2 linked regions of the Daphnia pulex genome follow. The protein of the gene in region 2 interacts with the protein of the main gene of each other region in a pairwise test. Links are inferred from orthologs where the notes say so. Each region holds a gene or a part of one and is shown on either strand. Other genes may lie near its edges. The genes, in order: ataxin-10-like and protein phosphatase 1 regulatory subunit 12A-like.

The links.
Region 1: the proteins of protein phosphatase 1 regulatory subunit 12A-like (region 2) and ataxin-10-like interact in binary tests that used the Homo sapiens proteins (3 or more experiments, as listed by UniProt). The link is inferred for Daphnia pulex from reciprocal best matches to the Homo sapiens genes PPP1R12A and ATXN10.

What each region holds. Positions count from the first base shown.
Region 1 is NC_060026.1:12,002,749-12,006,995, forward strand, and holds ataxin-10-like, read right to left. Parts: upstream 2,775-4,247; 5' UTR 2,635-2,774; coding exon 2,483-2,634; intron 2,420-2,482; coding exon 2,111-2,419; intron 2,051-2,110; coding exon 1,886-2,050; intron 1,820-1,885; coding exon 1,650-1,819; intron 1,592-1,649; coding exon 1,433-1,591; intron 1,374-1,432; coding exon 952-1,373; 3' UTR 631-951; downstream 1-630. Other genes in the region: uncharacterized protein LOC124205851, read right to left, coding at 1-115, 176-275, 350-556; solute carrier family 40 member 1-like, read right to left, coding at 3,858-4,056, 4,131-4,247. UniProt on the Homo sapiens protein: May play a role in the regulation of cytokinesis. May play a role in signaling by stimulating protein glycosylation. Induces neuritogenesis by activating the Ras-MAP kinase pathway and is necessary for the survival of cerebellar neurons.
Region 2 is NC_060023.1:10,247,631-10,252,135, forward strand, and holds the start of protein phosphatase 1 regulatory subunit 12A-like, read right to left. Parts: upstream 2,964-4,505; 5' UTR 2,541-2,963; coding exon 2,298-2,540; intron 2,222-2,297; coding exon 2,091-2,221; intron 2,023-2,090; coding exon 1,904-2,022; intron 1,835-1,903; coding exon 1,521-1,834; intron 1,444-1,520; coding exon 1,298-1,443; intron 1,206-1,297; coding exon 956-1,205; intron 886-955; coding exon 726-885; intron 663-725; coding exon 404-662; intron 214-403; coding exon 1-213. UniProt on the Homo sapiens protein: Key regulator of protein phosphatase 1C (PPP1C). Mediates binding to myosin. As part of the PPP1C complex, involved in dephosphorylation of PLK1. Capable of inhibiting HIF1AN-dependent suppression of HIF1A activity.

The sequences.
Region 1 (4,247 bases), on a different chromosome or scaffold from region 2:
TGCTTACAGAAACCCTCAGTAACAATTCCGTTCCGGTTCATAAAATAGCATAAATTAGCAGGATCGACTCGTCTTCGAGCATAAAAGGTAGTTACGTTGATATTGGTTTCCTCGTCTAAAACAGTAGCGCGAACCATTGAAGAACAATGCTTAGCTATTTAAAAATTTAAATTACGTGGTATATGAGACATCCATTGGAGCCGTCCATCTACCCACCCCAAACCTGTCCACACCAACATTTCTGATGAAAACCAAATCGAGGAATGAAGGATCAGCTATTATATGCAGAAAAATTACAAGTCTTAATCAATATAATCCCAAATAAAAACTTAATCAATCAAAGTAATACCTCGAAATGGTCCGAATGAGCAAGTCCTCCATGGCGTTGGTAGCAGTGATCGGAAGCGTCGTGCCAAGAACGGCGCTCTTCAGAAATCAAGATGCAAAAACCCGTACCAGTTGAGCAGTTCCATGATTGCGGAGCCGCATGCGGCGCACCAGCAAAATAGATTAGCAGCAATTTAAAAAAATTGGCGATTAGATCCATTTTGGCCATAAGATGACTTACAGACGACCGACGGTAAGTCACTAGTATTTTTCGGAAAACGACGGTTACTTTAACCACCAACGTTCCCAAAACAGATTAAAATTTACTTCGTACTACGTTGCATTATCCAAAAACAAACAATGAGAACCACAATTATCAGCACACAGTCATTCCCACATCCTTAATAAAACTATGCATTACAACTGTAACCAAAATAGGTAGAAGAAACCATAGCCTAGAGCGCAAACCACAAGTCAAGGTTGCGAAATGGGTACTATAGGATAGATAAATATATGGTTTTTTACTAAGGTAGGCTTAATGTTTTCCATTTGAAAATCAGAAACTTCCATTTTTACTTGCACTTTGCACACTGTACACAATGGATGAGTATGGAATTCGATGGATTAGGGCTTTCGATTCGCCTCACAAGGTCGAACAGACAACCCAGAATCTGATTCCTCCACCACCATGCCTAGATCTTCTAACAGGGAAGGCTGGACTACTCCTTGCCGAGTCATGGAGCCGATCACTTCTTGATTTGCAATATTCTTCTCACACAAATTTCGAATTGCCAGGATTGACCATTGTTGAATGAAAGGGTTTCGGGCGTCCAAGTTGCAGCACTCTAGAAGTGGGGCGATGGCTTCGAGTTCACGGATTCGATCTTGAGCAGAAGGATTCTTGTAGCTTAAGTTGCCGAGTAAACGAACCAAATTACATTTGAAATTCAAGGCGGGATGAGGTTCGACCGATCCAAAATGATCATTGATAGTCGTAAAATAGTTTGATCCTGATTGGCCCAGACTATGTATGCTCCGTAGTAAGTCTGACAAAGCGAAAAGAATATTATTCTTACGACAATTTTAAAGGAGTTATAAGTTATACCAATAGTTGTAACTAAGAGATCGTCATCCAGAAAAAGTTCTCGATGACAAACATCACCAGAAGAAGATTTAGCTAGGATTTCAACAAGACTGGTCGCTTCCATGGCTTCCAGATCCAACGAGGGATTCTCGCAAGTTCGCAAAATTAGGCTAGCTCTTTCTAAAAAAAAAATTAATAATTTAAAATTGTGTAACCAAGAGGTAGATTTCCTTCAAACCTTGAAATAATCGGCTGAAAAATTGCCAATTTTGAACGTCCATGTCTTCGCATTCTGGAGAGAATTCTGAAATCTGGTGAAGAAGTAAGAGTCTTGTATGTATTTCTTGAAAGTTATACATATTTTCCAACATGTTTTGGTCACACATGAAGAGTTTGATTGCAAATTGTCTGTAAAAAAATGTAACCGATATTTATTAATGTTTAACAAAAATGTTGAAACTGTTTTACTCTTACGAATAAAGAATTCCTTTATGAGAAGACAAAATCAACTCAGCTGTCAGATCTCTCCACTTGTGGTTTGTTAACTCTTCTCTAATGGTGAGGGAATTTCTCAGCACACCGAACATGACAGAAGATGAGTATAAGCTTATTTTTTCATCTTCATGGGAAAGCAATTTACTACAGATAATCTGAAATCATATATCTAGATAGAATAATTTTGTTTTTCATAAGTCATACCTTAAATTAGATTGAAAACTTTCCCATATGATGTGGGATAAATTTGTATGTGTGTTCAATATGTTTCCAACACATTGAAGAATTACACGGGCAAGGACAATCTCTTCCACTGGAAACTCTTTTAATATGAAGCTTTCTAGTAGCTGATTGCATTTACTGAGCAACTGATTCCAAGTGTCAGGAAAGCTTTCCCAGTTTTTCCCACAACAATTTCTGAGAATGCGGGCACATTCAAGCACCAAGGGAACACCTACTGGTCTCTGGATGATTTTCAACAAAAGCTGCAAAATTTCATTTGGGATTGAAGACCTAAACTTATTTAACCAAAAATCAATCAAACAGTTAAGATGTGAGTATGATAAGACTTAATACCTAAAGTCATCTTCAACTGTCTGCTGAGTTAATGCCTGTAACTGGTTAAGTATGGGCTGATGATCGGTAGGGGACGAATTAAGATTAGCTAACCCTTCTTTTAACTTGAATTCTAATTCAGTCCAAAATGAATCTTTTGAGGAATTGCTCATATCGATTTTTTGGTTTTGCAGTAATGAGAGCAGCCGAAACCAATTTTTATGAAATCAAAATAAACACTTGTTGTGTTGAATTCCAACGTTGCCAACTGGTTGCCAATTTCACTCCTAATGCACAAGCAGCGCTTGAAATTTTGGTGCGAAATTTGAATTCGAGTGATTCGAGTACTTATTTTAATTAACTAAAGTAATTTCATAACCTTCGGACAAGTCCAAAGTTTAAAAGAGATGGGTAAACAAACTGTAAGCTACGCTTATGCGTGAGTGTGCAATAAACTGAAAGGAATTACTAGCCAAAGTAACCTCGAATGGGTCGTCTTTAATACCCACTCATTTTTCTATATCGATTACGAATTACTAAACAGTAACAATATTTGACTGGCTGTTCTCAGAATTATATACTGATGAATGAACTGATACGTACCCGGAACCCCATACGGCCATACATCGATTCACTATATATAGCGATCAACTATGGGAACTATAGTGAGTTTAACGACCGAGCAGAGCAGTTAGTTATACATTGCATCAAGGGTTGCATTTCAATGTACCTGTTCACTTTGTTGACTCTTTCCCAAACTTACCAAAAGGCTGAACGCTAAAAAATTTGTTGATACAATAGTCAATCCCAAATTCCCAACGTCGCGATAAACTGTATTTCAGGATATCTGACTAATATTTACAGTATGTTGCGTAACTCCACTATTAAAGCAAAAAGGAAATTAATGAAAAAAATTTGAATGTGGTAAATGTTCAAAGGAAATTACTCCAAGATAACGCTGAAGTATAATATATTTTGATTATTTTGAATCAGAAGCAGTTATGTTAATAAAATGCCAAATTAATATAACAGTAAACGCAATAACAAAGATAAATATTGCACTTTTTGGGATCGTTAGTCTTATTTTATGTAACCCAACATTGATCTGCAATAAATTAATCGAATTTCAAACATTTAACCTCGCTAATACAATTTAGGGCTTAGCCAGTTATGGAGGTTGTAGATATTGGTGTGCTGGTCTAATTCAATACTTATGTGTTAGTGTGTTGATGAAGGAATGGCTCCCAGCTCTCTGTTTAGCAGTATACAAAGTCGAACAATGATGGTATTCGCCAATTTATGTAAATCTGCCAGCAGATGCACTTATCTGAAAATATTTGTTACAACAGTGTCACTAAATAATCAGAAAATATTTCCTAGTAAGTAACCGACATGTTCACGAAGGGCTGTTGTCGTGTTTTGTCTCAGGCGACGATGGAATATTCCGACGGACCGCTGAATTTTCATCGGTTTTCTCGTTTTTCAGATCCACTGAAATTTGGTAAATTTCTTCCGGCGGAATATTATCAATTACTTTATGGAATGGCAGCAAATGTCCGCGTTTCTTGAAGGAATACGAAGCGAAGAAACTCCATCTGTGCAATTTTTTTTAAGTGAATATTTTTATACATGTATGAATTATGGTTAAAAGGAATTAAATCAGGATTACCCTGCACAGATAGCGGAAAAGGAGATACAGACGAGAATGCCAAATGTCTGTGGCCAAGGACAAGCGATGACTAGAAGAAATTTGACTGTGTCGAAGATCATATTCATTGAGCTTTGT
Region 2 (4,505 bases):
TCAAGGTCGTCGTCAGGTTGTAGGGTTTGTTCGACTCGGCTTCGGTTATTGGTTGAATGAATAGTGTTAGTACTAGTGGGGCCTCCACCATTGACATCCTCCCCAACGCTGTTGCTGCCGCCGCTCACGATCGGAGTGAGCGACGAGGCTGCCAGCAATGGCAAGGAATTGGCCTTGATCCGTCGCCGCAGTTCCAGCAGCCGCGAATAAAATCTACGGCGCGAGCACGGACACATACACACAAACACATACACGACCATGCGCGTTCAATGTGTGATGGAAAAACCCGTTTTTGTTAATCAAATGGTTTCGTTTGTTTTAATGAGTTAAGTGCTGGAATATTATCGGTGCAAGGGTTAAAATAAAGTCATTGTTTGCACAGACAAACACCCACAATCCTTACCGTTCGTCGGACTCGAAACTATGGGCTCTCCGTAGTGTGACTTCCGTATCGGTAGACAAGGCGGAGGTGGACGAGGAGATGGATGAGGCGGTTGAGGCGAGGTTGGACGAAGTGGTAGAAGAAGATTGAGGGGTGGCGGAGGAAGAAGACGTGACGGCCGCTACAGGGGTTAAAGGCTGAGAGATGGACCGGTTCAATCCTTCTCGCTCCGATTTGACCGGAGTGTGGTTCAATGTTCCACTGCCGTTGGCAGCATTGGCTGATGGAAAATATTAGAAATTAAAACACGAAACATTTCCAAGTTGCATGAGCGTTTGCCTACCAGCTTGCCTCGACCGGAAAGAACCAGGTCTTCTCCAAGAAGGAACATCCTCCTCGGTTTCAATCATTTGACCCGATTGCTGTGATGGAGACGAAGGCAGGTTGTCCACATCAGTGGCCGGTGGAGGTGGTGGACGTGAAGGGGGTCCGCTTGACGAAGTCTTTTTTTAAAATAAAAACCAGAAAATTAATATCAGAATCCGAGCTGAAATTAGACAAGGAAACGATTACCACTCTAGGAGAATTATCTTTCGTTGAAGTCGGGACGGATGTGGTGGTTGTGGCAGGGGTTGTGGCAGGTTTGGCTCGTTCATCAAAGGACTCCTGGACGGCAAGAGGGGCCACGGGCGAGGATAGTTCGCCACTGCTGTTCTCTTTTTCCTCGTCGACCATGATGACGGCACCGGGAACCTTATCCGTGATTTTGGACGAAGCCTGGATGGCAGCTTTCTCCGTTTGCGGGGTACGGGTGACCGACGATCTAACAATAGTCCCAAGCAAACAAACGCAGGAAATATAAACAAACAGTCCAGGGCGAGAGACAATTGCAAGAATGTCGTTAAAAAATCTCACCGTCTCTTGGGTGGTGACTGGTTCCTTGCGTTGCCTCGATTATTGTACACTTCTGGCCGCTCTCGTAAAATGATGGCCTGACGCTTCTTGCATTCTTCCAGTAACCGGATGATGTCAGGATCGGCCACATCAAAGCAAGTCTGACCCTAAACGAATGGACATACACAATAAATGAAGAGAATTCGGGTTTTAGATGCCACACTGTTGGCGTGCTGGATCGTACCACGTAATTGCGGACCTCCATGTCCGCCATGTTTTCGCACAAGAGTTGACATGCTTCACGCTGTCCCCAATGGGCAGCCGCATGTAATGGTGTCCAGCCGTCAATGTCTTGAATGTTCAGCTCGCCTCCGCCCTGAACGAGCATGCTCATCACGCGGATGTAACCTTTGGCTGAAGCGACATGGAGCGGAGTAGCGCCGGTTCTAGGGTGCGGCTGGAGCAGTCGAGCTGATGCCGGGTCTCCTTCCAGCCACCGACTAGTGTCAGCAAGCATTTGTCGTTCCTCTTGGCTCCTAGCAGCATCGCAGTCAATGCCTGTTGATCATAAATCCATAGTAGTGTCGTGTGAAAAGTGAGCTCAAGTGTTATTGTTTTTGTTATTACCTCGCAACTGTGTTTCTCGTTCAAGCAACTCTTCCATGGCTTCTGTTTCAGCAATATCAATAGGGAGTTCACCGTCATTGTTTACAGCAGCAACATCTGACTTGTTCTCAATCAGGTACCTAATTCATAATTCCAAACAGCTGTTGTTTAGCATTGTGCGAGCATCAAAACTAGTCATGTTAAGTACCTGGCAATTGATAAAAATCCACAAGAGGCTGTGGCGTGCAGAGGAGTCCAGCCTTCATGATCTCCACGATTGATGTCAGCTCCATGCTCCACCAAAAACTCCACCATATCCAAATTGTCATCGATGCAGGCCTGTATGAAGAAAACAACCCTCAAAGTCAGACGACTGGCGTAAATGGTTTGTTGACAGGGCCAAAACAAAACTGACCTGATGCAGCGCAGTTAAACCATCAACATTGGGGGTGTCTATGTCAGCTCCTTGCCGTATGAGTTTGAGTACTTCTTCTTTGTCACCGGCAGCACAAGCGGAGAGAAATACACATCCATCTGAGAATTGGATTCTCCTTGAAACCACACGAGCTGAGGCAGGTTCCTTGTTTGTCTCTGATTCCTCCCACCTTCTCAGTTGTTCAGCCCTCTTAAACAGGGCTGAATTTGTTCTTGACTCCATGTTTTTGGCGGCGTTTCAACGCAACCGTAAGCCACTGTAGAATGCAACCCGGGCACTTTCCGATCCCTTGAAGGGAATGTGACTCTCCTCAGAGATCGGAGGAGAGCGAAAGAAGGCACAGGACAACACAAGGGAGTGGAAGACGGGAGGTGCCAATTGCTATTGTATAAACACGTCGGGGAAGGCACACACTGTATCTAAATCCTTTCCCGGCCGGCGATATCTGACTATCCTTTACGCGGCTTCTTCTATTGATAGAAGACCGCAGTCTGGATATTTCGCCCCCACCAAATTGGCACGAGTTTCGTCTAGTTACAACACACAGACACACATGAATGGATGGAGATGGGGAAGAGACTCGATTCTGCCTCAAGCAGACGTCGCCATCTTGGCCTCTTTTTTTCAGTTTTTTTTTTTTTGTTTTTATTTTTAGACTTTTCCCCCATGGAACTAAGAATCAACGGTACACTCGCCACAGATTTTACCATCATGCTATTCTGGAAATTCTCCCAGGTGGCGCTGACTATTCACAAGAGGGTGAAGACTAAAGAGCTCTCGTGTTATATGTTAAGATGTTACGAATATTTTATCTAGCACAATGAGATCTTTTCGTCGGATCCCGAAATTCGACGAATTGTTCCCATAAAACAAAAACATTTATGAATGACACATACAATTTTTTAATTCACTCCATCGAAATGTTTATAAAAGGGCCCAACTATGGACAACTAGCGCCTCCCATGCGGCAGTTCTATCGATTCAGGAAATTTTTTCGATAATCTCGCCACCTTTACTTAACATTTGGTGCTTTCACCAGCGTTGCCAAGTCGCTACGTGCAGAGCAAGACAAGACGCTTTTTTTTCTTCACCATTTTCCATTTACATTCGGATCCCGGGAACCGACCGTATGTGCACCGGCACTCACGCACACTTGACCCAACGGCCCGTTCTTGGGCATCACGAACAGTCATGACTTCACTTTCCATCCCACAAAAAAAAATAGAAAATAAAAATACGATGCAGGACAACAGCCGGTGAGCCAATCCATTTCCAAATAAAACTCATCTTCAAAGTTTCTCTCTTCCTTCTCCCTTTCCCCTTTTTTGTTGCCTCCTATCCGCATTTCCCAAATGTGGATTCCGATCCATCACGCGGCCAAGTAGAGGGAGAAAAGGGAAAAGAAAACAAGTTTTTGATCGATAACTGAATGATTTTTTTTTCCCATAAGGGAATCGGAGATGAAAGATGTAGAAATGGTTTTAAACTCCTAAAATGCTATCTGCGCTATTAGATGGCAGTTGATGTCAGTATAAATAATGAAAAAACCTTTTCCAGGTTTCTACTTTTGATGGTTTAGCAATCGACGGCTACCCGATTGTTCGATTGCCATAAATTATTTGAATAACATTGATTTTGTAGACGAAGCGGTAATGGAATTCTTTTGGATCGACAAGTTCGTTTTAAATTTCCTAATGCATAATTCAAAGACAAGAGGAAGAACCCAAGATAAGAAAAATTGATATTCGAGCGTTGCCAAATTCTTATTGGATATTCCCATCCTCCTGTTGCGTCTTGTTATTGCTCTTTACCCGTCTTGCTCTGACAGCGGGAAACAAAAGCAGACCGCTCCTCCATCACTCAAATAGTCAAATGTTTAGATAGAAAGACATCTTAATTATTTATTCTTACCCTATAATCGTGGCGCCGAATCGTGTTTTCGTGTGTTGTTCCCAGTTTCACATAAAAATGACCAACATTGGCCCATCCTGAAAAGTAAACATTTACATATACTTTGAGTTGTTTTCCGGCTATAGAGTGACGTTTGTTTTCTTGTGTGTGAACGTTCAAGGTTCGTCGAATGGGACAAGCGTCACTATGGGTATACTGATTTCCTGCTATGATTCATGCTGCAGGCCAAAGATTGCCAATGGAGAATCCATCAACCCTTATGCATCGGTAAACCTA